Callithrix jacchus: one gene and its partner. The protein of the gene in region 2 interacts with the protein of the main gene of each other region in a pairwise test. Links are inferred from orthologs where the notes say so. Each region holds a gene or a part of one and is shown on either strand. Other genes may lie near its edges.

The links.
Region 1: the proteins of PEX16 (region 2) and PEX3 interact in binary tests that used the Homo sapiens proteins (3 or more experiments, as listed by UniProt). The link is inferred for Callithrix jacchus from reciprocal best matches to the Homo sapiens genes PEX16 and PEX3.

What each region holds. Positions count from the first base shown.
Region 1 is NC_133505.1:150,250,445-150,254,269, reverse strand, and holds part of PEX3 (peroxisomal biogenesis factor 3), read right to left. Parts: intron 2,916-3,825; coding exon 2,791-2,915; intron 2,491-2,790; coding exon 2,424-2,490; intron 2,317-2,423; coding exon 2,262-2,316; intron 1,709-2,261; coding exon 1,540-1,708; intron 1-1,539. UniProt on the Homo sapiens protein: Involved in peroxisome biosynthesis and integrity. Assembles membrane vesicles before the matrix proteins are translocated. As a docking factor for PEX19, is necessary for the import of peroxisomal membrane proteins in the peroxisomes.
Region 2 is NC_133511.1:110,936,724-110,939,489, reverse strand, and holds part of PEX16 (peroxisomal biogenesis factor 16), read left to right. Parts: intron 1-266; coding exon 267-347; intron 348-459; coding exon 460-612; intron 613-724; coding exon 725-797; intron 798-989; coding exon 990-1,109; intron 1,110-2,766. UniProt on the Homo sapiens protein: Required for peroxisome membrane biogenesis. May play a role in early stages of peroxisome assembly. Can recruit other peroxisomal proteins, such as PEX3 and PMP34, to de novo peroxisomes derived from the endoplasmic reticulum (ER).

The DNA of each region.
Region 1 (3,825 bases), on a different chromosome or scaffold from region 2:
TTTTTTTTTGTTTTTGGTAGGTATAGGGTCTTGTTATGTTTCCCAGGCTGGTCTTAAACTCCTGGCCTCAAGCCATCCTCTTGCTTGGCCTCCCAAAGCATTTTCTTTTAAGAGACAGAGCTCACTGTGTTGCCCAGGCTGGAATGCAATGGTGCAACCATAGCACACCACAGCCTTGAACTCTGAGCTTAAAAAATCTTCCCTTCTTAGCCTTTTGAGTAGCTGGGACTATAACCATGTACCACTATGCCCATTTGGCTGATTTTTTAAATTTTAATTTTTGGAGACAGGATTTTGCTTTGTTGCCCAGGCTAGTCATGAACTCCTGGACTCACATGATCCTCCCACCTCAACCTCCCATGTTTTTTTCTTTTATCAGTATACATGTGTGTCTTTTTTCATCAATCTAATCTGAAACTCTATGTGTCCTTTCAATCTTAAATTTCAGGTTGTAATTCAGTTCAGTAAGATCTGGTCCATCATTTTTCTCTTCATCTTCTTTCTTTGAATTGTTTTCTCTGTAGTTCTGTTTTGAATTCTGAAAACATAAATTGATTTAGAGTCCTAAAAATATTTTTTAATACTCTTATTGTGTCTCCTTGAGATTCTATTTTATAAGTTTTCTCCTGTTTCATTAATTCTGTCCCATCTGTTCTGTTTGATCAGTTTTTGTCTTTATCTTTCAAGTTATAGGGTTTCCTTAAACGGAATGCAACATTTTTTTTTTTTTTTTTTTTTTTTTGCCTACTCATGAATGTAGGATCTCTCAGCAGCCAAACAGGTTCATCTTTGAGGTCTCTGGGAGTGGAAAATCCTTCAGGCAATGAAAACAAGGCATTCTGTTCTAACAGTGCCTCTATGCTGAGGTATGGCATAGGGGTCTCTCTGTTCTAAGGCTTTTCCAGTTGTCAATTGAGAGCTGTTCTCCCAATTACAAAGAATGGGTATAAGCCAGCAGACAAAATTTTTGGATTAGACTTTGTTTCTCAAGTGGATGACTATAATGTCCTCAGTCCATTTTTGTACTGCCATCATTAACTTTTTTAAAATGCAAAGGTGATTGTGTTACTGGACTGGTTAAAATCTACCTTTCTTTGTGTACAAATTGGAGTTCAGACTCCTTATCTTGGCATACAAAGCTCTTTATAATCTTGCCCTGACCTTTAGCTCTATGTTCTGATACTTGATCTGATACAAAAATATGTGTAGCCACACTAATAGAATTTGTATCTTCAGTTCCCCAAGTGTAATGGGCAGGTCTTACTAATTTTACATCTCCAATATGTATCACTCTGTCCACTGTTGCATACCTAATAATAAAAATGTACTGAATATCTAAAATTGTCACGTGCTTCTAATTAGAAATCAGTCATAATGGCAGTTTGTTTTAAATATTAATGGGGTTTTATTTCAATTATTGAAATATATACCTTTCAATTACTTACCTTTCAAGAGACTCAGAAATTGAAATTTCAAGACAGAGTAAAATTTTAAAAGTATAGAGTAACTGGTTTGATTAAATGGTTATGAATTAAGCACCTGCACTGCTAATGGAGTTTCTTCATCTGGCATCATATAATGGCATAATAAAGATTTGGATCCATCTTTATTAATCCAAGAAGAAGACTTATGCTGTTCAACGAGATTTCTGATTTCTTTTAGTTTTTGCTCCAAGTCCAAAAGGGACAAAGAATGTTTAAGAGAAACACTAGAAACAGAGAAAAGGGAATTGGGATAAATTAAAACTATACAACACATCCTATATACACTCTTTTCTTAACAGGCTACTGTCTAAAATCCTGTTTCTTCTGCTCACACCTGTAACTGCTGACTGGAATAGAATGGATTAAGAAATCAGCCACCAGTTAAGAGCCATTATTACAGAGCCAAGAAAAATATTTCTGTGGATTTCATAAGAGAATTCCTACTATAATTATAGATATTACTAGTATAAGTGTGAGGTAAAAGCCTCGGAGGCAGATTTTAAAGTAGGTCTCTTATCTCATGACCCAAATATTTCTGATTTGTATGGCAATCAATCAATAAACAATGAAATATTAAAACTTTCCCCTCTGAATACAAAGGTTGATACTGATGAAGAAAATAGATCCCACAAGGCAATATCCCAAGTTGGTATCTGATTAGATTACAGAGTTTCACAAACCACCATTTGTCAAGTCATTGACTTCACTAGAACAATTCTAATTTTCTTTCATTCATCAGAATCAGGAAGTCAGAAAAGTCAAAGAAAAATGCCTTACCTTCCTAAAATCTTCTGCACAGCTTGTTTAATGACAGTGATCAATTCTGTCAGGCCTATTAAAGAAAAAGCAAACTTAAAAGCCTTGCTTAGTTTAAAAATTCTTCAATAATACAAATAAATGAACTAAAATTAGTACAAAAGTCACAAGTAAGAATCTTACCATCTCCAAGAAGGTGTTGAATACTTGATAAATATTGCTGTTGGACATCTGGGGGAGCAAGAATTGTCTGTACAAAACAGAAATAAGGTTAAATTATCCAAGTTTTAAACTAGTAAATAAGTAATGTTTTCAATATAACTTTAGCTGAAATTTTTCAAGATCCAAAATGATGGGAAAATAATATTTTTTAAAACAACAAAAATTCTACTTTCCAAAGTATAAGAATTATTCATAATACTAAAAGTTCACAATCACATGAAATATAAAAAAATATTTATTTCATAGAAATTGGTATCAGGATAAATTAAGTTAAACTTTGAACCTCTTGAGGGAAAGGACAATGTCTATTTAAGTCTATTAAACTTACAGTGCCATTTTTGCCAACTGCTGCATTATCCAGGTAAATATATCCACCAATTATGTTTAACTGGACTCGCAAAAGAACAACCAACATACAGGTACTGTATACAGCCACGATACTTCTTGTGAAACCTTCATAGAGAAAAGAAAACCACTTGGTACTGTGATTAATATACATGTGTAAAATCATGAACCATTGCTATGGTTATTTTTTCATAAGATGACTTTTGAAAACATATTTATAACTGTTTCAGGTATAAAAATATATCAATTCAGAAGATTTCACAGTCTCTCCTTTTAAATAAAAAGTAGGTATGATCCCTTAATTGAGACAATAACCAATAAAATATATTAGGTGAAAGAGGTATATATTATCAGCTTAGAAAGGAAAACAAGGAAAAGTCTGGGAAGCACAAAGCATTGCAGCTTCAGAACTCTTACTTGTCAACAGACCTATTTTCAAGTAAGAGAAGAGGGCTGAGTGGAAGGTTAGGAAGAACTCTAGCCTTCAATGGCAGCTTGAGGAGGATGAGTCTGTTTAAGGAGTGGAGAAAGGTACAGAAAGACTAGGGAAGCTTGGTAAAACTGGCTTCTCAGTAGCCTAGGACAGACTGTTCAAAACAGAGGAGAGAGTGAAGGTGTTGACTAGTGAAGGTGTTGACTGTTGCCCAGAGTTCTAGCAGGAGGAAAATGTCCAGCAGATTTGGCAACACAGAACTTGTTACTGATGCTTGAGAGATCTGCTTGGGTGGAGACACAGGTGTGGAACCCAGGCTGTAGTGCATCAAAGCATGAGTGGGAGTGATGAGAAGGAAGGGAATGTAGAAATCTTGGTCATGGTCATAAGGATTAAGAAAAAGTACAAAAGCTGAAAGAAAATACAGGGAACTCGAGACATTTAATTTGTTTTCAAATAGGCAAGGCTTAAGCAACATTCTGTTGACAAGGATTAGTAGAATAGATGGGAAAATGAGAATAACAGGTAGTATGAAGTTCTGAGACAAGCAGATATGTAGGCCCTGCTTTAGGTTTTTGTTTCAAT
Region 2 (2,766 bases):
GTCCACGGGTTCCAGGAGGCTGGCTCTAGCCATAGCTATGATGAGCTTTCCTCAGGCCAGGGCGGGCTGCAGGCTGCTTCCCCCTCTGGACGGGCCTCGTGCTGAGCTACCGCCCGGGTTGTAGTTCCCTTCACTCAGCTGCCGCCACAGTACAAGGGGATCCATTCTCCCCTTAGCTCCTGAGCACTCACTGAATGCATGTTCCTTGCAGGGTCTACTGGAAGCATGTCCCTCTGACGGTATGGCCTTCTGTCTATCCCTGCTAGATGGTGACCACAGCCCTGGCAGCCACGAGCACTCCTACGTGGGGAAGCGGTCAAACCGGGTGGTACGAACCCTCCAGAACAGTAAGTGGAGGAAGTGGTTTGCCTGGGCCTATGGGACTGGCTTCAGTCAGCGGCCACTTTCCCCTACCTCAGCTCGGGCCTGGCTCACTCATCTGCGTCCCTTGTGTTCTAGCACCGTCCCTGCACTCCAGGCACTGGGGAGCCCCCCAGCAGCGGGAGGGATGGCAGCAGCAGCACCCTGAGGAGCTGAGTGCGACCCCCACCCCCCTGGGGCTGCAGGAGACCATCGCAGAGTCCTTGTACATTGCCCGGCCACTGCTGCACTGTATCCTTAGCGCGGGGCAGGATAGGGCTGGCACTGCGGGCTGGGGATTGAGTGGGGAGTGCGCTGAGCTGCGCCCCTGTGCCGGAGACATCCTTGACGCCTTGGCCGTCAGTGCTCAGCCTGGGCCTATGGGGTCAGAGGTCATGGAAACCTTGGCTCCTGGCTGGTGTTGTGGACGTGACCAGGTGAGCCTGGGCCTGCCCAGGGCTCCACTCTCCACTAGGCTTTCTGCTACAATCCTGGCACCACCTAGGTGGGACGGCAGCAGCCCTTGCCCCTCCTGTTTCTACCCCTCTGCACACACAGCCTGTGACTCCTCCCCTTCTGTGGGCCCAGATCATGACCCTGGCCCTGACCTTGTCCTCCCTGCCCCCCAGCCTGAGCCTCCTGAGTGACAGGAAGGGCCTGACCCGGAGGGAGCGGCGGGAGCTGCGGCGCCGGACCATCCTGCTGCTGTACTACCTGCTCCGCTCTCCGTTCTATGACCGCTTCTCTGAGTAAGCACCCAACCCCTCCCAGAATGGCCAGGCCCACCCTCAGCCAGGGAGAGGGCTGGCAAGTGGGCACTGGTGTTCTGGTCCCTGTTGGCACTTTCGTTCCCCAGTGCCTTGTCCAGGGTTCACTGAGCACCTGCTGTGTGCTGTCTGGGTGGCAGTCACCAGATGCCAGCCCAGCCCCACCTGCAGAGCTCTCTGGGCCATCAGACCACACGAGCATGCACTTAAACACGGTTGGCAGGAGAGGCACTGAGGGCCAGGTGAGGGCATTGCAGGGCGGCCCACAGGGACGGCGGCAGGTGCGCATGCCCAATGACCTCTAGTTCATTTCCTCTTCTTCCTGCCAAATAGTTTGGCTTATCCTCACTTCTCAGAGGAGGCACTGGAAGTTCAAAAACAATGGGCAACTTAAACAAAGCTACCCAGTTAGCCAGCGGTAGAGCCAGATCCCAGCTGCATAGTCTCCCCTGGTCTTCCCTGCCTGGCCCAGCCTCCAGTCGCCTGTGAGGGTCCAGAGCTCCCAGCCTTGGGGAGGCCTGCTGGGTTGAACAAGGAGCAGCTTGGGACCAGTTCTTCCACAGGCCTGCCACCGTGACTGTGTGAGGTTAGACTGCAGTCTGATGGAACCCTATGCAGCAGCTGGGACTGTGAGATAGACAAGGCTCCTGGGACCCCCTTTGTCTAGGACCTAGTAACTGCTTGAAAGCTGGCATAGGCTGGGCAGCAGTGGCTCACACCTATATTCCTAGCACTTTGGGAGGCCAAGGCAGGAGGTTTGCTTGAGGCTAGGAGTTTGAGACCAGCCTGGGCAGCCCATCTCTACAAAAAAATTAAAATAGGCTGGGCGTGGTGGCTCACGCCTGTAATCCCAGCACTTTGGGAGGCGGAGGCGGGTGGATCATGAGGTGCAGAGATCGAGACCACTCTGGCCAACATGGTGAAACCCCATCTCTACTAAAAATACAAAAAATTAGCTGGGCATGGTGGCGCGTGCCTGTAATCCCAGTAACTCAGGAGGCTGAGGCAGGAGAATTGCCTGAACCCAGGAGGCGGAGGTTGCGATGAGCCGAGATTGCGCCATTGCACTCCAGCCTGGGTAACAAGAGCAAAAACTCCGTCTCAAAAAAAAAAAAATTTTTTTAATTAAAAAAAAAATAATAATAAATTAGGCAGACATGGTGATGTGCACCAGTAGTTCCAGCTACTCAGGAGGCTGAGGCAGGAGAATTGCCTGAACCCAGGAGGCGGAGGTTGCGGTGAGCCGAGATCGCGCCATTGCACTCCAGCCTGGGTAACGAGAGCGAAACTCAGTCTCAAAAAAAAAAAAGAAAAGAAAAACAAACAAACAAAAAATGCATAGTTTAGCTGGGTGTTATGCTTCACACCTGTAATCCCAACACTTTGGGAGGCTGAGGTGGGAGGATTGCTTGAGGCAAGGAGTTTGAGACCAGCCTGGGCAACACAGTGAGACTCAGTCTCTACTAAAAATACAAAAATTAGCCAGGTGTGTTGGCGAATGCCTGTAGTCCCAGCTACTCGGGAGGCTGAGGCAGGAGAATCACTTGAACCCAGGAGGCGGAGGTCGCAGTGAGCTAAGATCACGCCATTACACTCTAGCCTGGGTGACAGAGCAAGACTCCATCTCAAAAAAAAAAAA